Linked DNA regions of Coturnix japonica. The protein of the gene in region 2 interacts with the protein of the main gene of each other region in a pairwise test. Links are inferred from orthologs where the notes say so. Each region holds a gene or a part of one and is shown on either strand. Other genes may lie near its edges.

Region 1 (6,258 bases), on a different chromosome or scaffold from region 2:
CCATCACTATTTCCATGATGAAATCTCCCAGGAAGGGGGGAAAGAAGAGGAAGAAAGAAAGCTGGACAATTTGCACATTTCGCAGCTTTCAGTTGTACTATGCATGCCAGAAATAAGTTTAAACATTAGGTAGGGCCTTGGAGCTCAAAAGAAAAGAAGGACAAGACAGCGAGGATCAACTTTCATTATGTTTCTACAAGCACAGACGACAGACCAGCCTGACCTCCATAGCAAACGCTGTCTGCTTTCACTTCACTTGTCTTGAAACGGCTCATTCTTGCCTGACATTTTGAAGCCCCGTGAGAGCTCAAATAATGTTTATAACAGAAATTATTTTTCTAAAGCAGTTTCAGAAACAGAGAGAAAACAGAGATACGCTTTTTCAAATATATTTGTAAAACTGTAAAATAAAATAAAATAAAGCACCTATAGCCAAATCCTTCCTCATTTGTTCTGGTAACCAACCACAGAGTCTGTAAGAGTGGAAAGAATTGTTTTCTTAAGCAGGGTGGCCATGGTTACAGCAGGACAGCTCCCCATCTCCCAAACATTCACCTTCTAGTAGTCTGTCTTGGATTAGATAAATATAATATATATGTTCTACCTTAAGACTTTTTCCCACAGTAATGCAGTGGTTAAATTCCTAGAAATCCTAAGATCTCCATAGTGGTGCATTTACTTTTTCAAGCTTATCCAACAGCAAATTCAAGTAAAGGTTATGGTTGCAGCTGAACAAAAATGGATAACAGAATGTGGGCATGAAAATATAGAAGTTTAAAACTAATTTTGGAAATTCAGTTAGCCACTAAACTACTCACGTTTATGTCCAAACAATCACTTCTGAGGAAGTGCTTTCCTCAGCTCGTATGACAAACAGCAAAGAGAACTGGGTGACCCTCTTACTCAGCAGAACTGTGTGAAAGGAAAAAAAGTCATCAAAACACATGACAAGACCAGAATTGAAATCTGTAATTAACATCTTCAGCGGAGTGGGATATTCATTATCTGCAAGTAGAAACACAAGAAACAACCAGCAGGGAAACAACCAAGTAAAAGTAATAAGTATGCCTTCATCAATGACAAATGAGAAGAAGGGTTTCTGAAGAGAAAGCATTGTACACACAGCACGGCACTGCTTTGCTGTGTGTACCCAGTTTTCAAAAGACCTTAAAATACTTCAAGCTGAAAAGTGATACATACCCATAACCATAAAGTATTCCACTACCTAGACAATCACAGATTTCATCTCAGCTTCCATATTAAAAGGCAGTGTGATGAGAAACTAAAAATGCTGTTTTTGCACTGCTGCTCTGTAAGACAAGTGGCAATTGGATTTTAATCACCAAGGCTGATGTTGAGAACAAGCACAAACCCAGTACATTTTAAAACTTCTGGCTTCCTTCAAAGGTTGAGGCAGAGTGTTTAACACAGGGAATCCTGCAGAGCATTTCATATTAAGTCAGTATGTCAAGGAACATTTCTAGAATCCAGATACAAGTAAATACTCTGAGTCTACTGCATGTTTTCCATGTTCTTAGAGGGAGAAACAAAGAATTACTGATGCAGTGGCAACACTGGAGGGTATTTTCTAGCCAAAGTTCACATTGAACCTAAGCAGAGTAAGCCTTTCTTTCTTTCTTACTCACACATTCGTTGAACACTGATGTTTCTGCTGTGTAACAGGGCTTTGATGTTTTGCAGCATAATGGCAAAACCAAAAATCTACAGCCTATGTTCTTCTCCCAGGTACATGAATACTTTCTTTGGTTGTTTTGTAGATGGAATTCTGTAAGCTTGTTCTAATCTAGGGAACAGTCAGACACCCTGCATGCCGCCAAGGGGTTGTTGTTTTTTCTGCTGTCAGATATGCAAAAGCACTGATTGAAGCAAGTTATTCAGCAAATAGGAAAACAGAAGTCTAAAACAACTGCTGGTAGTCTACAAATATCCATTATTAGTTATGAAGCTTACACAATGAAACTTACTCACCTCTCTGGAGCATGGCACAACAGTGAGGTGGTGGAGTTGGCTGCAGTTTTAAATGGGAAAATGTTTTACCACTTGAGGGGGCTGTAGTACAGCAAACCCATGCAGCCTTGTGTAATAGTGCACAATGAGAAAGCCCAGCCTTGGGGATAAAACGATTTCCCTATGGCCTTTAGGAAATTTTACATTTTTAAGATACCTATTTGCATAATATTTGGCAAAATAAACCCTCAAAAAACAAACAAACAAACAACAACAACAACAACAAAACACCCTGTAGGCCCAAAGGTGCCTGGTCACAGACTGGAGGGAAGGTTTTAATCCCTCATCCAGTCTTTGTGCCATACACTGTTTTTTCATCCGACATTTAAAACATTTGGAATTTTACCACTACCCCACTTGATTTAATGCTATTTGGCAAATGCTGCTGAACAAACAGTCAGCAGTTTTCTGCTGTCTTCCTTGTTCCAAGAAGTAACACAAGGCATTTCCATTCTGCTTAATTTCAGCAAAGTATGGGAACATCCATCTGAATTCTAAGTGAAGATAGAAACTGGTTTGCATTTTCAATTAGGCTCTGTAATACTGTGCTGCTGAGGTACTTTCTTGCCAAATCATTACCATCTCTCACACTTGACCACATGGCATAATGAGTCACTGCATGTACAAGAATTAGCAATGGTGATCAATAAAAATCTAGTAAGTCAGTTTGCTTTTAAGGAGAAAACAAACAAACAAACAAAAAAATAAATAAAACAGACTACCTCAGGTTTGAAATACAGTCATCCCAAAACATTGTACTGAATCCAAAGGTTTTAAAAATGAAAATCACTGCATGGGGGAAAAACAAACAAACAAACCAGTGTGAGAGATTTTCTGCTAACTAATCATAGAATGATAGAATGGCCTGGGTTGAAAAGGACCACAATGGTCATGTAGTTTCAACCCCCCTGCTATGTGAAGGGTCATCAACCACCAGACCAGGCTGCCCAGAGCCACATCCAGCCTGGCCTTGAATGCCTCCAGGGATGGGGCATCCACAACCGCCTTGGGAAACCTGTTCCAGTGCATCACCACCCTCTGTGTGAAAAACTTCCTCCTCAGATCTAACCCAAATCTCCACTGTCTCATTTTTAAAACTAAGAAGCTAACCCTTGGGGAAAAAAACCTGCCCTCTCCAAAATCATTTGGGGTAAGTGCCTTGCTCCAGCCATACACCTTCACAGATTCAAAACCATAGTCCACTTTTCCTTAGTGCAGAAAACTTCCACTGATAAACCAAGACAGAGTAAAAATGCATCCAAGTCCATTTCCCCTCTTCCTGTCACCTGTCACACACTGACTGACGCCTCTTCTTCCCCCAACCGGGCCCGCCCAGCACCCATCCCGCGGTGCTCGGACACTGCGCCAGGCCCCACCGCCTCCCTCGGCCTCACCCTCGAGCAATATCGGTTAAGAGAAAGCTGTGTCGCTGGGGAATATGCAGCAATACGGACCCGTACCCCGTTACCTCCGCGCTGGGCCTCAATGCGGCGCAACCCTCCCCACCTCCCAGGCCGCGCTGCGCTCCGCCATGTCTGCGAGCGGGCCGGGTAGGGGGGGGGGGCAGCGCGGCCTGGTGCCGGCGGGACCCGGGGGGAGCAATGCCACGGCCTTTTATTCTTTCGCATGCATTGTACGCAGAGTATTCACAGTGATTCTGGGAAAGATGTGTATTTCTGGCAAACTTACGGGCGTATGATAGGGTTTATTCGCAATTACGGTGAAAATCCGTATGATTTTTACGTAAATGAGCTTGGTTTTATTCACTGATGAGGCCTATGCTGCCCTCTACTGACAAGAAAGGCTCCTGCCTCTTACCAAGGACGATTCCCAGGCAGAAACAGCCCTTTTGGTAAATACGTGAGTGACGTAATGCTTTTACAGTGGTCAACCTCGTTCCGTGTATTATACACAACTGGTTACGCAGTTGAAGTCAGGCTTCCTTTTTTGCCTTGTTTTTGTGCAGCAACAAAGTGTGGGACAAGTCTGAAGTTGTACAGAAGAGGAGCTGAAAAACTGGAAGAAGACAGCATGGCTTTTCAGAACTGGCGCAGTCTTCCTTTAGCAGGGAAGACACAAGGAGCATGATTAGCCCTGTGTGAGGAGTCTTCCCAGGAACAGAGATCAGAACAAAGGATGCCACTATTTGAGGGAGGTTCCTTACTCACAGCCTTCTCCATTAAACTATGTTTGGTCTAATTAATCACTGTTCCAGAAAATATAGGGGCTGGAGCATCTCTCTTATGAGGAAAGGCTGAGTGACCTGGGTCTGTTCAGCCTTGAGAATAGACTGAGAGGGGATCTGATCAATGTCTATAAATACCTAAGGTGCGGGAGGCAAAGGGATGAGGCCAGACTCTTATCAGCAATGTGTGGTGATAGGACAAGGGGAAATGGTCACAAACTGAAACATAGGAAGTTACGTACAAATGTGTGTAAGAACTTCACAGTAAGGGTGACAGAGCACTGAACCAGGCTGCTCAGACAGGTTGTGGATTCTCCTCTGGAGATGTTCAAGACCCACCTGGACTCTTACCTGTGCAGCCTGATCTATGGAGCCTGCTTTGGCAGGGGGGTTGGACTAGAAAAGTTCTAGAGGTCTCTTCTAGCCCCTACAATTCTATGATTCTGCAATAATGCTTTTTCAGTTACTCCTAAGTAAACCAAGGGATAAACATGATATACTTGTTATATTCATATACTTGTGTAATGGTATATATACATATCTTTGTGTTTTTGCAGGGTTTTCCAGGATAAAATCAGTGCTACAGTAACAGCTTGCTTTCCTTGAGATTTCAATGTTGGCTGTGCTAAGTATCTACTTCTCTAAAAAGAATAGACTTCTATTAAACAAGATAAGATACTCTGCCAGCTGATAAATTGTTAAATATCCACAGAAATATTTGGGAAAATGTTGGTTAGACAATTGGTGAACAGTTAATCTGTGCCATCAGACAAGAAACTTGCAAGATTGCCACAATGATTACTTTGTTTATTAACTTAGATGTACATTTATGAAAGAGTTTGCAGTTCCTGAGAACAGTGCAATAATAGAATCACAGAACAATGTGTTTCCTTTTAATGAAATAGAAATCTTTCTTCTAACAGTTCTGAAGATGTTGTGTATTGGTCAAGCATTAGCAGTGAAATTTTGCAGAGATGTACTCCCATTCAACAAACATTTATAGTGGAATTATTTGAAAGAAAATATGTATGAATTCCTTTAAAACCTTCTTCCTTCAATTTGTTTCCCAAAGGATGTGCTTTAGACTGTCCTTATTATTGCCTATTCTTGGAGTTGTAACAATTGACTCTTCAGAACAGCCCAGACAATATGTGTTCTGGCAGAAGGGCTGATGGACAGGCATTTCCTGTAAAATCCCTAGACACAAGCTCCAAAGCTGTGGTTTGAACTTTCTGAAACCTTGCGTACAGGTAATGGGAGCAGCTGTTTCCAATGAAATGGAATTGGGGAGATTATATCCTTCCTGAAGACCTGAAAGAGAACTGGTAAGTGATCACTTGCTAGAATCGCTTCTAGTGGGGGAGGCTAACTTAAGTTCTGCCCTTGGTAACAGTACTGTAGAGCAAAGTGTCTGTAATGAAATCAGAAGAGTACAAAACGTGGCTGAGAACAGCTACCACAAGCTACACAAACATGGCTAAGAATTTGTCTCCGTATTTTCATCAGAAAGCTTAAGCACCAAAGTTGTGGTAAATGGTAAAAAAAATACCCTTGCTTCCTGACTGAAAATCAAGAAATGACGGAATTACAAATATTGATACTAAAGATACAATTAATCACATAGAGAACTGTAGTCTTTATTATTATTAATACTTCTTACAGCATTCTCTGTAGGTTTGCAAAGTGTTGAATTGGCTGCAGCGTAGTTTTGTATTAAATCCCTCTGATAGCATGACTGTAAAAGTCAAATGAGAGGTGGCAAAAGTTCAGACACTCGTTATTGTCATAGCTCCAGAGGTGTCAACAGAGTTTTGGCATCCAAGTTTAGCACCAGCATTCCATCTACAGCCAGCAGAAAGCAGGGGAGTCAGAAAATCAGGTTTGGAAGATGTGAAGTGCTTGAAGGAGCTGCTGGTTTTGCTATTGTCTGAGTACAGAAGGAACAGCAGCAAATTAAATGTACCACCTCCTTTGTGCTATGCAAAACGGTTGCTATCTGCAAACTGCCTCCTTTGGGTGGCTCCTGCAACATTGTGACTCCCAAA
Region 2 (5,666 bases):
ACTCAACAAGGTATGTTTTGGAATGAAAGTTTTTTTATGTAATACTTGAACTACCCTGTACTGAAGAATCATGAGAATTCTTAAATGACATAGGTTACTCTGAAAGTAATGCCTCCTACTTATTTCTGTGAAAACTACAACAGATATGAAGCACATGGTAACACTATCAGACAGAGCAAATTATGAGCTTCAGAATACTATTTTTCAATGGAGTCACCACCATTGGCCACGCATTTTTGCCAGAAATGAATTGTAGCCTGCATGCCACACTTATAAATTGGCTGTCATATGGCTGTTGTATGGCTGTCCAGAACATGACTTGTCTTTCACACTGCTGTTGTCAGTGTTCAGATGTACCACTCACCACTTCACTGTGCTAACACCCACTGTTAGCACTGTTAGCACATCCACAAACATTCAACAAGTGTCAATGAAGGCCTGTGGCTACAATTCAGTGGCACACCTTTGCTTCATATGCACTTCCGTGCCAGATGCTGTTTTGTCATACTGCCCCTCTGCTGCCATCTGTTGCATGGCAACAACATGTGATGAAATATTGGTGGGAAGCTTCAGTCTCTGCTGCTATACCACCAACATCTGCCTCTGACATCATAGGCCAACATAATAAAATAGGAGACGTTACTTTCAGAGCAGGCCTTGTAAATTCTGCTCATGGCTTTATCTTTCAGATGAAAAAGAAAGATGATTTTAAAGAAATATTAAAAAGGAGAGTTCTTCTACATTATTTCTATAGTTATAGCTCTGTCCAGCTTTTTACCTCATATCTTGACAAAGCTGCTACTTAACAACTGTGTAAATAAACAATGATATGTTGATTATATAGTAATTAGCGATATCATTGGCACTTCCATAAGTGCAAACTCATTAGCACTGTCTTCTAGTTTGAATTCAGCTTGATTATGTTTGGTCTAATGAGGCACCTTCATGACGATTCTGCATTAGCTTTCTAATCTAAAATCTAGCAAAGAGCTGATATATTCTGTACTCAAATGAACTTCTTTGTTGTTATGCACTGCTCTGTCAAAAACTAAGTCTTATTCTAGTACTTTGCTTTCTATTACTCCTGGTGAATTTGAACACCTCCTATGAGATTTTCCCAGATTGCCTGATGCAGAGAACTCTCAAGACATCAGTAGTTTGGACTCTCACACGTTAGTGTTGCTCAGCCCTGGAGAATTGTATTATTTATGTAGTGCTTTGGTGCATAATCTCTTTCAGAAGTAATGGTGGTATTTTCCTAGACTAGGACACTGTGATGGGAGCACTGAAAAGTTTTCATGTTGCTGTCAATGAAAATACTTGATTAAAATACACCTTTCTCAAAATTGAATGCTGTTTATCTACATGCTCAACAGAGCTGACTACACTGACAAAGACATAACATCATGTCTTTCATGTGTGATTTCTAAGATTTAGTCCATAACTCATCTAAATCTTGTTTTTTCCTCATCTCCGAGGCTGCAAGATTTTGACAGAAAGGTGATATTTTCATCACTGAGGGCTTTTCTATATATCCAAATTCAATTTGATGTAATCTGTCAGAACTCTGCCTTTTGTCAGTAGGAAACAAAATCCCTCTGAGTGATACAAGTCTTCAATAGACCTATTCTCATGAATAAATTATCGATATAGTTCTACTCTAGCAACATACAAATATCAGAAGCTGTCAATTGCTTTCTCGTTCTATCTTCTGACAATGCAACTTCTCACTGAGGTTTTGTAGTATCAATACCAGCAACTGTGCATGGACATAGTCTAGCAAAGTAATGCCATCAGAGTCTGTAAACAAATTATGGCAAGCAAAAGTGTTGTTCAGATGTAGCCAAAGGATATAGCTTCATGCTCTGTTTGCCTCTGTATGACTTCAAACCTGTCAACTTCTTGTTTTTATGCACTGTGGCAGCCTTTGTCAGCTCACTTGCCTTCTTCCCCTATATTTTGGCAAATCATCTTATCTCTCTGTTTCACATACAAAATAGTCTTCCTGGGCTACAGAAATCTGTTCTACAAAAATATCCCCTGTAAATGTAGTCTACTCTTTCTGTATGTCATTGTTTTCTTAAAGTTTCCTTTTAGAAACCCTTTAGACCTTCTGGTTTAACTCTCTGTATTCAAAATCATCATGCTGCATTTATTAGGTAAGCAGTTTCATCTCCTGAAACAATGCTGCAACTGCTCACTTTGTTACCCTTATATCTGAGAAGAGTGCAAACTATTTTGCACACCTCTGTAAAAGGATTTTTATTTTGAAGGCTATCTAGATGCTTTGTTGGTAAATGCATTTTCTGTCTGAAAAAGGTCAGTTTGTTCACTAATGTTTTTAGCGGTCATCAGATTACTGACATTTTGCTGTAGCTGAGTTAGAGGAATAATGCCCTTTGCTAACAGTCTAAGAAAAGTTTAGTGCAATATTTGCTTATGTTTTGTATTTCAAGATTCTCTAGTTATGCCGAGACCAAATGCAAGTCATCAGTGCATGTTCAACAAGGCTGGTTTACCTGTGGTGGATGTAGTTGTGGATCCTTACATTGCAAATAATCTCCGACCACATCAGAGAGAAGGAATTGTATTTCTATATGAATGTGTAATGGGAATGAGGTAAGAACATAATTATCCTTTTGGCTTTCAATGCCTATAATATTTTCACGTTCCATCTTAAGAATTAGACAATTCAAAGGGGAGCTTATGAAAAATAGATCAGCTAATTAATATTAATAATCTTTCCACAATAAAGGTTGCACAGGTTTTTTTCTGACTTCTGTGTAGCACTGTTTGCTGTGACTTTGCTAGATGTGATGAGATGCTGGTTCAGCAAAGGGCCTGTCAGTTCTGCTGAAGATACCACATCTTCTAAACACAGATACAATCTGACTCATGCTGAATCACACCACTTTCTGGGGTTTATAATTCATTTAATTCATGATTGTATGATCTATAGTTGAATGTGTGGAATAGAGAAGATGAAGAAGGTATGTGCAGTGAAAGTAAGAGGAGGTATATACAAGTGTTAAAAGGATTATATCTTATGTTATATTTTAAATTCTAGAAGAAGATTTAAGCTATTTGGTTTTGGAGGGCTAGTGCATTAATCTAGAAAATGAGGAATTTCACTCTAAGGACTTCTGGTCCTTGCTGGCTTCAGAAAACATATAACCATGTAGTAAGTACAAATAGATTCTTTAATAGCAAACGAAATGACCATGAGAAACAGTTGCCTAAAACAATTGTGAGTAATTACAGATACGTCTTTCAAAGTGTTACCATAGCCTCTTATATGTTACAGAGTTAGTGGCAGATTTGGAGCTATTCTTGCTGATGAAATGGGCTTAGGAAAAACCTTGCAGTGCATTTCACTTGTCTGGACTCTTCTGCGTCAAGGGGTCTATGGATGTAAACCAGTACTAAAGCGAGCACTAATTGTCACCCCTGGGAGTCTGGTAAAAAACTGGAAAAAAGAATTTCAGAAATGGTTGGGAAGTGAAAGGATCAAAGTCTTTACAGTTGATCAGGTAAGATTTATTTCCTAAAGGACATTAGGTCCTATCTGGCTCAGAATATAGGTCTCACCAGGTTTTTTTTCTTCTTTTTTTTAAGCAGAAACCTGAACTAGTGATTCACTATTAAAATTTATTTGGAATGCTTCATTTCCCTTTCAGAGCCATACGCTCATTTAGCTGTCAGCAGCTGAAGATCACCTGCCTATGTAGCATAAGTCTCATAGTTCACCTTTGCAAATGTAAAAGGAGACATTATCTTCCTTGTCCCTCCAGTAAGGGACAAGGTCCATAAGCTTTCTGTTCTTCCTTGAAGAGCATACCATCCTTGCTTTACGTAACAGAGATTCTAGCTTGACTGACTTGTACTGTGTTTCTCTGGTAGTTCCTGTTACTCTTTACCAAAAACTTTCTAAATTTATTTCAGCTATCTGTTTCTAGTGATTTCAGGAAGTTATTCCTTTTAATGACACTGATAAGAGTTAGGTTTCTGTCTCCTGTAGAAAAGCCAGCAGAAGCAGGAAGGTGATGGTCCCCCTGTATTCAACTCTGGTGAGGCTGCAACTCAAGTACTGTATTCAGCTTTGGGCCCTTCACCACAAGAATCAATGACCTGGAACATCAAGAAAAGGGCAGTGAAGCTGTGAAGGGTCTGGAGCACCAGCCTTACAGGGACCAGCTAAGGGAACTGGGATTTTTCAGTCTGGAGGAGAGAAGGCTGAGGGGAGACGTTATTGCCCTCTGCATGAAATGAGGTTGTGGTGAGGTTTGGGTCATCCTCTTCTCCCATGTAACAGAGATAGGATGAGAGGTTATGGTCTCAAGTTGTGCCAGGGGAGGTTCAGGTTGGGTATTAAGAATAATTTATTTTCAGAAGAAGTGGTGATGCATTGGAACAAGCTGCCTGGGGAGGTGATGGAGTCACTGTCCCTGGAGGTGTTTAAGGAAAGGTCAGATGTAGTACTCAGGGACATGGTTCTGTGGGCTGTATTGGTGGTAGGTGGATGGCTGTACTGGATGACCTTAGAGGTCTTTTCCAATCTTAATGATTTTATGATTTTTCCTTGGTCCTTATTGATTGTACCATTGAGTGTACCAGTGGGAGGAAGTGGAGACACTTTACATTCTGTATAGAAGAATGAATATTTCAGATGAGATGGAAGCATTCAAACTATTTATAAAACTCTTTTGGAAGCTGTACAGTACATTATAAAAGCAATTATTTGAGATCCACTCTTATAAGCATCAAAATCCTGAAGTTATTGAACCTACTCATCGTCCACTGGGGCCAATCCACATCCACTTCATTAAGAAGTGCTTTTTGCATCACTCGTTTTTCTCGGTAACTTGTTTCAAGATGTGGAAATGAAGCAAACTGACTTGTCAGGGACTGTAATTTAATATAGATGAGATGGAGAAATACAGAATTTTCTAAGGGTAGTGGATAGAAGACAAAATATAATAGGATAACGTTATTACCTGAAAAGGTGATTAAAAATAATTGAATGTTTTCTTTCAATTTTTTTTGAATAATGTTGGGAGGAAAGAAATCTGGATTTGCTGACAGTTACTGTGACCCAAAATGACAGTAGCTTTTATCTGACTTTTAATTTAAATAACTTTAATATTCTTACTCATTTCACTGGAGCTTTTTGGATTGAGGACACTCAGCAGCTTTTAAGACTGTTGTTCCCAAATAGCAGTGAATACATTGTCATGCAAAAGGAAGATGCAGTATGACTTGCCTGGAGTATAATGAGGTATCTTAAAATAATTTACTGTCTATCTTCTACAGAAAACCAGCAATTATCATACTGTTATTTCTTCAGTATAACTTAAAAGGAAGAGCTTGTCTCAGTGTTTTGTTTTGGTGTTTTTTTTTTTCCCCATTCTTGCCTACAAGGAATACATTCAAAGAAGTAGCAGGCTTTTAAAATGCATTAGGCGTGTTTTCCTCATTTTAACCCCTCGCTGGTAAATTCCTTAAAGAAACAGGACATTATCTGCTTTTAAAATGTGGTTGCAATTTACTTCTGTTTAAATGCAGATGCCAGGTAGAAGGTGTTGCTTTTGGAAACAAGGCTCCCCCACCAGAGGTTTTATTTAGGTCTTATTAATCCACATGATCAACATTTGAGATGTAATTGAGAG
Region 3 (6,405 bases), on a different chromosome or scaffold from region 2:
CTGCCCTTGTGCAGCCCACACAGAGGGCTCCTGCAGCCCAGCCTCTCACCTTGCAGAGCCCACATGTTGTAGGAGGCCAGGTGGCTGATGAAGGTGTCCCTGGTGCTGGCTGGGATGTTTGGTCCCATGATGCTGGTAGAGGATCCGATTGCCACGTTGTACCTGACATGATCACATGGCCCCTTAGAAAAGCTTGTGGATCTTGCAGCTCTGAGTCACGAGCACTACAGCTATGGGCCTTTAGAAACAGCTTTAAACTCTCACCTTTTCTCAGCCCAGGCAACAATAGGATCCCATTCTTTCTTCTGCAGCTCTGCCAAGGCAACTGGCTCCTCCACACGATAGCTGGGACATTGCACAACAAAGCCATGTGGGTGTTCACACACAAGCTGTCAGACTGCTCCCAGCCAGACTGCAGCACTCCTGAGAAGAAAGTCTGTGCCCTCCGTAGACCACAGTATGGGGAGCATAGACCTCTTGTTCACCCTACCTGCAACAGCTGGGACTGGGAATAATCTCTCCATTCAAAGCTTTTTATTGTTCTAGAAAGGACAGTTCTATGCAGCTATATAACAGGGCTACAATCTACAACAGAAGACTGCAGATTACCTGAAACCAGCCAAGGGATGCAGCAAGATTTAGTGATCCATGGGACAAATCCCACAGGGCCCTTCCTGCTGCCTTGCACGCCCAGTGGCTCAGCTTAGCACTCACCAGCCACCGCCCTGCCCAGCCCAACACAAACAAAGCCACAAAAAGTGAGGTGAATCTGGTTTCCCTCTCCCTTCAGGAGCAAAGCAGCTGCCAGTGGACACCTCAGAGGCTGAGATTGTGAGACGTGAGCTTGGGTAGGCTGGATCCTGCAACCCACAGGAGCTTTAAGGAGCAAAGGGCATTTTACTACTAGTACAGGTAATCTAAGCTTACTACACCTTTATGCTACTGGAGTGCCAGGGGACTGAGCTGACATTCTCCCAAGCCTTTCTTTGCTTTTCCCACTACATTTCTTGCTGCTCCTGCTCCCTGTCCAACATGGACATCTCCAAACAGATTTCAACAAAGAAACAGGTCCCTGTTCTTTGTATCTATGCCCTTTAAATGCATGGAGTTCCACTAGGTTGGTGGACATAGGACTCGTCTAAACTAATTCAAACCCCTGGGCCAAAGCCAGGACAGAGCAGAGCCCTGCAATGACTTGGTTAGAACAGACATTTTCCCTCAGTTCTCTCAACCACTCTACAACAAGACAACCCCACCTCTGTGCCAGTGCATCCCGCAGTCCCTTACCAGACAGTGTCAGTCTCCAGGAACTTCACAGCTGCACGGATCAGCTGCACCTTGTTTCGCTGAGTGGGATTGTCCAGAGCTGTGTTGCACAGTGTGGTCTGCAGGATAAAGGCAACTGAAATCACTGTTATCTAAAGCTCAAGGAAGCAGCAGTTTCCAGTGTACTAGGTCAAGATAAGCAGAAGAATTTGGGACAGACTGCAAGAATCAAGGAGCTTACTTAAGAGGGAAACATAGAGTCAGAACATGGCTCATATAATAGAGTCTATCCAACCTGTTCATACCCCTTGCTATCCCCAGAAATGCTCTCCATCCCCTTCTCAAACTCCCCAGTGACACGGGTTTCCCTCCCAGTCCTGTAGCCAGCATCCAGCTGCCTGCTCAGCCTTAAGTTATCCACAGTACTCAGCCAAGGCACTGAACTCCTGTTCCCACTTCAATTGACATTAGGACAGCCTGGTCTCTCTCTGTGTTCTGCCTCTGGAGACCATTTTTGTGCTTCAGCACTCTGACCTGCTGTGCTCACCAGGTGCATAGTGTAGAACTTGATGGTGTCTTTCTGAGAGTCCCATTCTGTTGCCACTGCAATGGCCAAGGCCTCACTGGGGACAGTGAAGAGCTTGGCCTGGGGTGTTTTCAGCTTCCGGTGGTCCAGGTTGATTTCAAAGCCTCCTGGGGAATCAGAGTAGAAATCCTGGGGAATTAAAGAGGAGCAGGCACTAAGGAACAACAGACTACCCCATAGAGGGAACAAGCTCAGAGCTGGAGCTGAAGGGAGCAAGGAATCAGCAATTTTCCCACCAACATCAATGTTTTGACATTGCTCTTCCCCAGATGATGCTGGAAACTTTCCCACCACATGGTTTTACTATGGATGAGGACAAGGGCAGAGCATGTGGGTGACAGACAGCCCAGCTCACAACAGGGGCTGCAGACACAGCACTGCCTTGTGATGGTAACCCCCGTGTGAGTACCAGCCCTCGCCTGCCCCAGCAGCTCCACTCACCTTCTCCTTGTGAGATGCTCACGTTCTGGTAAAACCGCTTCCTCTCTGGGGGGTTGAAAACAGAGCAATTGAAAGGGTGGCAAGGGGAGGTTTGTCAGAACACAGGGAGCCCTCAGAGCTGCTGCAGCCCACAGAACAGCCACAAAATCCCACTCATTCAAGCCCCTCTCCATTCCAGTGAGTTCTATTCAACCTGGGAGGTGTCACAATACTGGTGACATCCACAGCAATGCCCCAGATCTCCTGACCACCCATAGGAGCAGATTTCTTGCAGACACCACTTGGAGGAACCATGAACCCTATGTGCAGCAGCAACTGGATCATGTGTCAGACACGTTGCACGTGGCAGCTGAGTCACTGGGGAGGAACCACTGTCCTCAGCTCACCGCAGCCCACACGTCTCACCCAGAAGATTCCCTTGACAATTACAACCAGCTCGTAAATGCTGAGCCCATTGAATCCACCTCCTGGCTGTCACTGAACTGTGCCCTGCCAACACGGGCCCAGCAGAGAGAAGGATGGGGATCCACTCAGCCTCCTACAAGCTTCAGGGCCTCAGGAAATGCTGCAGTGCTGGAGCACAGCTCTGGGAGGATTCAGGCACCTCAGCGTGTTCCCATTGGCCTCATGATACTCAATGAAACCCTGACTCCCATCCTCGTGTTTCCAGCAATATCTGTAGAGGGGCTGCACAGCCCAGCACGTGCCTGGGAGGGGCTGGTGGAGCTCCCCGCCATCCCACCCGCAACCAAAGGGAACCTTCAAACCCACTGATGGAAAAGCAGCGCAGTGACGCCCCACCACCTCCTTACCCACCTCGGAGCCCATTTTCCCTCTTCCTCCTTTCTTCAGCCCATTCTGAAGGCCGGAACCCAACCCCTCCCCCAGCCAGCAAGAGCTGACCTTGAGGAGGGGGCTCCCACTAATCCCCCCCCACACACACACACACCGACACCCCCCGCGTTCCCCCGCTCTCACACGGGGCTCCGGGCTCCTCCCCGCGGGGCCCACAGCTCCTCACCTGCGGGAGGGGCGTATGTTCGACTCCCACCCGGACACAGCGGGCGGCTCCGGGCTGCCACAGCCGGGATGCGGCCCAGGGCCTGCAGGAGGCGGCACATGGCGGCGGAGGAGCCGAAGAGAACGATGAGGAGCCGAGAGGAACGATGAGGGGCGGCGAACGGAGCTGGAGCGTTGCGGCCTACCCCGGCTCGGAGCGGCCTCCCCCGGCTCAGCTTGTCGCCCCGGGCGCCGCCATGTTGCCCCGCTCCGCCCAATGGGAGCACAGAACGCGCTTTGCCCCTTCGGCCTTCCCGTCGCGTGAGGCGCGAGGCGAACAAACTACATTTCCCAGCAGCCTCCTCACCGTAAAACCTGCCGGGAAGGAGAGCTCTCCGCCAATCGGAGCTCCGCCCCGCCTTCTCGCCGCTTCGCGAGGGCCAATGGGAGAGCGCGGGGGCGTTGCCGGGAGGCCCCGAGCCAGGCGGCGGCGGCGGCGGCCTGGGCGTGAGGGGAGCGGAGCGGAGCGCGGCCCCGGTGGCGGCCGCTGAGCCCCGGCCACGCTGGCGCCCGGGGACCCCCCCGAGATGCCGGTGCGCAGCGAGCGGGGCCGAGCGGGCGGAGCGGCGGGACCGGCATCATCGGCTCCGTCCGGAGCGGCCGCCAGCAGTTTGGTGCCGCCGCCTCCCATCAACACGGCGCAGCCCGGAGTGGCCACATCCCTGCTGTACAGCGGGGCCAAGTTCCGCGGGCAGCAGCGCAGTAAAGGCAACGCGTACGAGGTGGAGGTCGTCATGCAGGTGAGGGACCGTGTCCGGCGCCCACAGGGCCCCGCTGGGCCTCAGGCCTTCCCTGCTTCCCTCCCTTCCTTCCCTTCCTTCCCCTCTGCTCCCCGCTGTCCGGGTTCCCCTCGCCTTGATTCCGCCCGGCCCCGATCCCCCCCATCTCCATAAGCTCCTCCCTGCAGCCCCGGCCCTTCCTGCAGCCCCCACCCGGCTCTCACTGCCCCTCACTGCTCCATCCCCTCAGGGCTGATGGGACCCGGGGTCCTTCCTCTCTTTTCCTCTCACACTTTTGCCCCTTTTCTCCTTGTGGCTGCTGAGATACTTAACAGCAGCTCTCAGAATCACAGAATGACCCGGGTTGGAAGGGACCTCAAGGATCATGTAGTTCCAACCCCCTGCCTGGCAGGGCCACCAAACATACACATTTATTACATCAGGTTGCCCAGGAGACCCCATAGATCCCCATAGAGACCCCATAGATCAGGTTGCCCATGGCCCCGTCCAACCAGGCCTTGAACACCTCCAAGGACGGGGCATCCACAACCTCCCTGGGCAGCCTGTTCCAGGGCCTAACCACTCTCCTAGTGAAGAACTTCCCCCTGACATCCAACTTAAATCTTCCCTCTTTTAACTTAAAACCATTTCCCCATGTCCTGCTATTGCCAGCAGGACTCTCCTTCTCGTTCCCCTCAGGCCTGGGGTGCCCGTGTGCCTCTGGGCTGCCATGAGGAAGGGTGGGATCCTGCCTCGTGTTGGGAGGTGCCCAGGAAGTCCCGAGCAGTGGGACAGCCTGTATTTCAGGCCTGGCTGGAACTCAGCAGGGATCCAGGTCCCTGTGCTGGGCTTTGTGTTCCTCATCCCATGGTGCCAGTGGCTGCGTGAGGAACCAGGGGAGGGGTGCAGCAGTTCTGCTGTAATGGGAATGTGAGCAGACAGTTCTGCAGAATGGGGCTTTCCTAATCCTCTCTGGAGTCACTGTCACCCTGCGTGCTTTATTTTTAGTCAGAGGTGCTGGCACATTCAATTTGGGTAGAGGTGTGGAGTTAGTGCATGGGGAAGCCAGGCATTGATGCATGTTTTCCTGTAGCAAATCACAGCGCTGTTCCTGCTGTGAGTCTCTTGGATCGGGGCACCCAGGCTGGGTGTGCAGCAGTGCTGCAGCCTGGTGCATGGCTCGGCATTGGGGAGCAAAGTCAGAGCCCCAGGGTCAGTAGATGGGGCAGTGTGAACTGTGCCCTCTGCTTTCACATCCAGTCTTCTACTTGTCAACAGCATGACTGTACCCACTACAGTTTGTTCTGACGGAGACATCCTATGGCTGTTTAGTTCACTGCATGCTGCTTTCTCGCAGAGGCTGGCTCTATCTTTGTGCTAAAGACGCTGCTCTGTGCGTGTCAGATGAGAAGAGATGGCTGCCTGCTCTCCCTGTTACTGAGCGCAGAGCAATGTGGCTTTTCTTTGATCACAGGTGGGGAAGAGCCATCTTCTCACAGCTGATGTTTGCACTTCCCTAAATAATTCGCTTCTTGCTTTGAAAACCAATCTGGAGGTGTCAGGGGAAGGCTTGGAAAATCCCCCTGCTTGAAAAGCGCTCAGAGCAGAAGCATCCCACTGCTTCATTTCTGCATAGCAGAGGAGGTGAGATGCAGCCTCCCCCCCGGCCCTGGGGAAGGGGTGACTGTGAGGTGGATGTTCAGTACCAGCTGAAGCAGAACTGAGCCTTGGAAACTCTTGGGGTTAGAAATAGCTTTGGATCAATGGAGTGCCTTCTTGTGCATGCTAATAGTAGGACTTTGCACTTTTTTTCCTAGCACGTGGACATGGAAAACTCCTATCTCTGTGGATACTTGAAGATTAAAGGCCTTACAGAGGTGAGTGCTAATTGCAAAACAGCATGGGAAGATGCTGTTCAAAGGCTTTTCTTAGTGAGGTAGGAGAAGCTACCACTAGAAGGAGGTAGCAGAGGGATTGAGCATACAGCAAAATTGACCGCTAAGTAGGTTAATGGCTTAACTCTGCTGTTCCTGGCATATAGAGCAAATATGATGGGCCTTGATGGGAGACCTGAAAGGAGGGAAGCTTGTCTGGCATCCCTTAGGGTTTGAACTGAATCCAGCCTGACCCTGCAGTCAGCTTTGGACACACCTCCAGCACGCTAGGAGAAAACATAAGACCCAAACAAGTGAGATCTTTATGTGCTTCTGTCCATATCCGCCCAGGGTGGTCTGCTCTGTGCTGAGCAGTCAGTGAGAGGTGTTTCATGGGTGTGACACTACTTACTGTGCATGTCCAAGATTCTTTAGTAGGATCCTTGCTGTGAAATGCTGC
Region 4 (6,115 bases), on a different chromosome or scaffold from region 2:
CTCAATTAGAGACCTGTTTGCAACACAGGCAAGTCGGTGGATGATACCCCAAGGCAAGCAATAGTGCTGATGCACTGTTGGAAAGGCATGCCATTCAGAGAAACCTTGACATGCTTGAGAAGAAGGCTCACAAGCATCTTTAAGTTCAACAAGGCCAAGTACAAGTCCTGTATATGAGCTGGGATAGTACATACATCAGTATAGACTAGGAGATGAATTGATTGGGAACCACCCTGCTGAGAAGGACTTGGGGATATTGCTGGATGAAAACTTAATATGTGCTTATAATGTGCCCTTGCAGCCTGAAATGTTAGTCATATCCTGGCCTCATAAGAAGTGCAGCTGGCAGTTTGAGTAAGGCAATTATAGCCACATCCCCTGTCAACAGTAAAGAATGGGGTGTTGTGTAACTCACTTTGGGGCCCCCAGCACAAGAAGCTGTTGAAATGAGTCCTGATGAGGGCCCAATAAAAGAGAGCTGGAACACCTCTCCTATGAGAAAAGGCTGAAGGAACTGGGCTTCTTTAGCCTGGAGAAGAAAAGGCTTCAAGACGACCTTATTGCAACCTTTCAATGTGTAAAAAGGGCTAATAAGAAATAGACTTTTTCCTAAGGTCTGTAGTGACAGAACAACAAACAAGGATTTTAAATGTAAGGAAGGTAAATTTGGATTGGATGTGAGAAAGAGATGAGAGTGGTGAGAATGGAACAGGTTGGCCAGAGAAGTTATGGATGTCCTATCATGTCAAGTGTTCAAAGTAAGCCTGGACAGGAGTTTGGGCAGCCTGATCTAGTAAATGCTGTTCCTGCTTATGGCAAGGGGGTTGGACTGTCCCTTCTAACCTATGCCGTTGTGTGACTTTAGCAACAGAAATCTGTATAATATTCTATCTATTGATTCTGTATATGAACAGCCAGAAGGAACATAAACTTATGTTGAAAGACAGCAGTAAAATAAGTTTGCCACTTCTGCTTGAAAAATAATAATTATTTTTCTAAATGATCCTATATTTTCAGGTCTCTAACAATGCTATTTATCGTGATTTATTAAAAGAAAACACAGAAGATTGAAATCTATTCAGAAATACATACCATTTTACCCATGACAATATGAATGAATCCCTGTGATAATAAGGAAAACACATTCTACCAATGCAAACATAAATAGGGATACACAAAGGATTCAGTTTGTAAGTCTGAATTTAGACAGAAGCCTAATTGCACATGCACCTAGAAATACATAGATATACAGAACTGATATTTGAGGAGATAGATTTCATTTGAAAATACATGGGTGTCCAACCTTTTGGTTTGCTGGGCTGCACTGAATGAAAATGAATTATATTTGGCCATATATATAAATATATAATATAGTTAATACATACAAGCAACAAAAACATTATTTTTTTATTTTTTTTTATTAAAACGTTAAAAAATAACGCAACAAAAACAAAACCAGTAGGCTGGACGTGTATGAAAAGAAAAAGGAATGAAATACAGGACAAATCTATTTACATTCAACTTTATACAAACATTAGACTATCTATGAATATACCAAATTCTTCATTTCGTGCTTTTTCAGTTGCTTCTTGAAATTTTCTATCCTTGACCTGGGCATCCAATGCATCTTTATCAACCTATTAAAACAAAACAAAACAAAGAGTAATAACAACAACACACCAGCTGTTACTGGCTAAGTCACTGGATGTCATTGTAAGACATAAAAAAAAACTACTGACAATTCTTCAAGAGCCTGATAAAGTATTTTAATAGTCTCTGCCTATTAGAATCATAGAATCACTAAGCTTGGTAAAGACCTAAGATTATCTATTCCAACTATTCCAACTGTCCACCTACCACACATGCCTCTCAGTGCCACATCTACACGTTACTCAAACTATTCTGTCTCATTTCTATAACAATAAAAGAGATGTAAGTTGACCATTTGCTTCACTTTCAATCACTACCCCCCTGCTTTGCTTTCCTGATTTCTTCCAGTTCTTGCTGTTTGTTTTTTTTTCCCCCCTCAGATGACTTCCCTGTTGCCCCTCACACTTATAACCATGCACACCAGAGGATGAGAAGTGCAATAGCTATGGAGCATTTACCTCTGTCACACATGCAATTCTCATTGCATTAAAAAAGGCCAACCCACTCTGGGGAAGCAAACCTTTATAAAATACAGATTTTACGCTGTGTTCTTTTTCACCAGGGCAGAAAGCAGAGGGCCCTCCAAAATACTGTTAATGTGAATGCATCCATCAGTATTTTATCCCCACATGTTAAAAACTACTCAATCCCCAGTTCAAATATTTTTAAGCTGTCAAATATTGCCTTCATTTTTGAATTGTTGCAGACAATCACTCAGATAAATTAGTGAGAGAATGAGAAAACAAAGAATCTAAAACCTCTTATAGAGGAAATAGAGATATACTATATACCTGTATAGCTTTGTTGACTTCACCTGTTTTGGATGTGGCTTAATTGCAAACAGCAAGAACAGTCCCTTCTGTAAGCACTTCTTGCTCAGCCAACAAATATGGTATTATTAAATGATGTTCATCAAGATACTCACAGAATTCTTCCAATACTTTCACTTTAGATGTTTGTCTCGTGTAAATGGAGCTATTAAAACCTGTCCAACGGTCGTCCTACAACAGTATTTGGGAAAGACCTCCAGATATGGTGTAAATCAGCACTGCTCAGTAAAGTACACTGAGATCCAATGATCTTCCCTAAGTGAGAAATGGCATTTTACATTTAATTTTTAAGGCCCAAGAAAAGGCATCTAACAGAGAAAGTGTGTTTCCTGGCAAAGAAAGTTGAACTTTCTTACTGTGCCCACCCAACTTTTTGTTAAAACACATTATTAGCTCCTACCACTTGACTGTACCATTGGCTACCATGCGTCAGGATGCTGTACCAGCCTGTTGAGTTCCTTGCAGGAATTGCTATTTTACTATATAACTGACTGCTGCACAGAGGTCACAAGAGCAATTCCAAGGCAAACGGATCCTTCTGCTGACATGTGAGATGCTTCATTACCTGAGATCACTTAGATCAGACTGTCACCTGCTGCAACCCTACCTGCACAGTGAAGTTAACACACTGGGCTCATTTCTTTCCACTATGCGAGCTCCTAACTTCGATTATAAGCTAGGTTCTTTCCACTAAGTGAGCTTCTAACTTTGATTATAAGCTAGTTATTGCAACAGAGCCCTGAAAAGCAACTTAGCAGCAACATCTAAACTTATTTCACCTCACAACACACGCATCCAGAATGTTAACATGAGATTTCAGGCACAGTAAGGGAAAATTAACTACCACAAGTACAGAATCTTCACGGCTATTTAGATAACTACAAAGTACCACTTGATTTCCTGATACCCAAACACAAATTCGGGGTGTTTGCTGCCTCTTCCCTCCCCTCCCCGGAGCCAGACCGACTCAAATCTACTCGGCTCCACAGCCGGGCAGGCTCCAACCGCGCCCCGACCCGCAAAGGAGGCTTCGGCAGCGCCTCACCCCGATGGTCCGAACTCGCACGTTAAAGATGCGGCCCTGACGCTGCAGCTCCCGCTGCCGCCGCCGCTCCAGAGCGGCCGCCTCCTGCAGCTCCCGCTGCTGCACCGTCAGCCCGCTCATGGCGCCGGCAAGGAGCACAAGCGGCGACGATGGCTACCAAAGCACAACACACCGCATCGCCATGGCAATGAGCTCCCGCCCCCTCCCAGCGCCTGGTGGCCAATCAGGCGGGGCAGGGAGCACGAGGCAGGCTGCGGCCTTCTATGTCGGCCGCTAAGGGGCGAGGCTGAGCTTGGAGGGGTGTCAGCTTTGCCGTCGTCTGGAGGCCTCCTGCTGTGGGGTTTCTTTCCCTTCGTGTCTCCTTCTGGAAGACAAGCCATTAAAAAAAATACCTGGTGGTTTGAATTTTGTGTGTGGCCGAAGTTGGAAGGGGGGAATGGCCTCTGCACCCACTGCCCAAGGGATGGGCTACCTGAAGCTGCTGATGGTGAAGGACTTCAAGTCCTGGCGTGGGGAGCAGCTTATTGGCCCCTTCATGAGGTTCAACTGTATAATTGGGCCCAATGGATCAGGTAGGAGGCTGGAAAGGGGCATTTGGTGGTTGTGTGTGTCCTCCACTGCTGCCAAGATGGAGGTTTCTGTTGCCTTTGCCCTGCTTTCCCAGGCTTTTTCCCAGTCTTAGTTCTGGGCTCATTTTCAGGTCTCTTCAAGACTCATGAGGAAGAACCCATAACAGCAATTGCATCCAAGTGTGGGCCCAGTAATTGGGCTACCACAGCCCTATTATGGCACCGAATGGGCAGCAGCTTGTCCCCTGAGGAGCAGAACTACATGGTTTTGCACAGGGGATGTAGACTTATGTGGCCTCTTTACAGGGACCTGAGGGCTTTTTTTTTTCTTTTGTCATAAAAGTGTTTTATCATGTCAGTGAATATGTCAGATCATCTTTCAGATTTCCTTGCCCCAGGAGGTGGAGTAATAAAGAGAAACAGTAATGTCTCTTAACTTGTACTATTTGCATTGTGGAAAACAGTATGAAAATCTTCCATCGCATGACTAAGGCAAACTTTAAGGTAGCAGGCTTTGTTAGAGGCAGGGAATTGGTTAGACAGGATTTGGTCTAGATTTGATGAGAAAAATAAATGACATTAAGAAATCCAAGGAAAGCTGTTTGGGTCAAGTTGTGTAATATTTTGAATGCTTTCCCTTTCTCACATTTAGAAAAAATAGCAGTATCACCACCAAACACTTTGGACATAGCAGTTTAGTCCTCAAGAGCCTTTGCTTGTCAGTGTGTCTCAGCATAGTTAGGTGGTGGGTGCTGGAAGTTTTAAAACGGGCTCGTTTCTGCTGAACACGCTATTCAAGCAGATGGGATTTTATTCTTTACTTGGCAGAGAATAAGGCGATGCTCTAATGAGGAGCCACAAGGACAGGCTTAGCATTTGGTCTTAGTTCCCCAGTCCATTAGTTTATGATTTTGGTTTTAGATCCTGCTGCTCCTGCAGCTTACAGGTGGTCTGGCTCAGTCTGTGCTGAGCTCCACATCTTGCCCAGCATCATTATGGCACCTGTTCTTCTCCACCAGCTTTTTCCATTGCTCAGCAACAGCCAAACACTGGTGTATGATACACTGGTGTATGATAAGCACTGTCTGGGATGAAACCCAGGCAGGGGGTTGGTAGAGTGCTGTGCTAAGTCAAGCAGTGGGGGAAAGAAAAAAGTTGTGTTTCGATTCATTGGCTAAATGCAGTCCTGTTAACAATGAAAAATAGGCAGCCTTACTTCCTATTTTGGTAAAGGGAATAAAGAGTAAGTTCACGTAACCAGCTGATGGATTTGATCATATTGCTCTACTAGACTTTTATGTCAACCTATCATACCAGAGATAAATATCCCTTGCTTCACAGTCGTGCCTTATTCACTTCATTGCTTTTTGGCAGCATGTAGCTTTGTGGATAAATATTTTCAAGTCTGAAGCACAGGAAGAGTAATATTTCATCAGAAATCTCTGACGAGCACCTTGAGAACTGAGTAAGAATGACGCCCACTTCTGCTGAATCAGACTGATGCATTGGTTTTGCAAAAATGAGGTCAAATATCCCACTAGGTTTATTTTGTTTTTGTTGCTCTCCCTTTTTTTAATGTTATAGAAAAAAAAATATATTAAGGAAGTTTTGTTACTTATATACCTTAAGTTTACTATGTATTTAATAAGTGGCCCAAGGCAATTCCTCTTCACTCAGTGCAGCCCTAGTAAGACAAAATGTTGGACACCCATGATAAACAAAAAAGGGCTCTGTGAAGTAAGGACTATGATGCTGTTAGTTCAGCATAAGTAATGGCAATAAAATTTGTTCTACTGAGCTAAATAAATAACAGGTAAGTTTTTATGATGGTTTTTATTAAAGACAAGCTTTTTATCTGCTGCCACTGTTGCATTTCAGAAATGTATTTCTTCACTGTGCAATATGTTTTCACCAATGAAATACAGAATTGGAATTATTGAAGGCTTTTGTGCTTACATTTATATTTTTAGCTAATTGTTAATCATATCCCTCCTTCAGTCTCTTCTATGTCAGAGCATTGA

What was found.
Region 1: the proteins of RAD54B (region 2) and TCEANC interact in a two-hybrid assay, tested with the Homo sapiens proteins (2 studies listed by BioGRID). The two-hybrid records come from large-scale screens. The link is inferred for Coturnix japonica from reciprocal best matches to the Homo sapiens genes RAD54B and TCEANC.
Region 3: the proteins of RAD54B (region 2) and ATPAF2 interact in a two-hybrid assay, tested with the Homo sapiens proteins (2 studies listed by BioGRID). The two-hybrid records come from large-scale screens. The link is inferred for Coturnix japonica from reciprocal best matches to the Homo sapiens genes RAD54B and ATPAF2.
Region 4: the proteins of RAD54B (region 2) and RIBC2 interact in a two-hybrid assay, tested with the Homo sapiens proteins (2 studies listed by BioGRID and IntAct). The two-hybrid records come from large-scale screens. The link is inferred for Coturnix japonica from reciprocal best matches to the Homo sapiens genes RAD54B and RIBC2.

The regions. Positions count from the first base shown.
Region 1 is NC_029516.1:110,838,005-110,844,262, forward strand, and holds the start of TCEANC (transcription elongation factor A N-terminal and central domain-containing protein), read right to left. Parts: upstream 3,737-6,258; 5' UTR 3,718-3,736; exon of another isoform or gene 3,623-3,717; intron 3,606-3,622; exon of another isoform or gene 3,483-3,605; intron 2,963-3,482; exon of another isoform or gene 1,990-2,962; intron 913-1,989; 5' UTR 819-912; intron 1-818.
Region 2 is NC_029517.1:114,212,625-114,218,290, reverse strand, and holds part of RAD54B (DNA repair and recombination protein RAD54B), read left to right. Parts: intron 1-2,456; coding exon 2,457-2,619; intron 2,620-3,304; coding exon 3,305-3,530; intron 3,531-5,666. UniProt on the Homo sapiens protein: Involved in DNA repair and mitotic recombination. May play an active role in recombination processes in concert with other members of the RAD52 epistasis group.
Region 3 is NC_029529.1:5,011,543-5,017,947, forward strand, and holds the start of ATPAF2 (ATP synthase mitochondrial F1 complex assembly factor 2), read right to left. Parts: upstream 3,737-6,405; 5' UTR 3,415-3,736; coding exon 3,315-3,414; intron 2,943-3,314; exon of another isoform or gene 2,618-2,942; coding exon of another isoform or gene 2,542-2,617; intron 2,339-2,541; coding exon 2,294-2,338; intron 1,960-2,293; coding exon 1,814-1,959; intron 1,386-1,813; coding exon 1,288-1,385; intron 346-1,287; coding exon 265-345; intron 163-264; coding exon 50-162; intron 1-49. Other genes in the region: GID4 (glucose-induced degradation protein 4 homolog), read left to right, coding at 3,880-4,092, 5,889-5,948. UniProt on the Homo sapiens protein: Plays a role in the assembly of the F1 component of the mitochondrial ATP synthase (ATPase).
Region 4 is NC_029516.1:64,766,108-64,772,222, reverse strand, and holds the start of RIBC2 (RIB43A-like with coiled-coils protein 2), read right to left. Parts: upstream 3,737-6,115; 5' UTR 3,646-3,736; coding exon 3,526-3,645; intron 1,638-3,525; coding exon 1,556-1,637; intron 1-1,555. Other genes in the region: SMC1B (structural maintenance of chromosomes protein 1B), read left to right, coding at 3,962-4,097. UniProt on the Homo sapiens protein: Microtubule inner protein (MIP) part of the dynein-decorated doublet microtubules (DMTs) in cilia axoneme, which is required for motile cilia beating.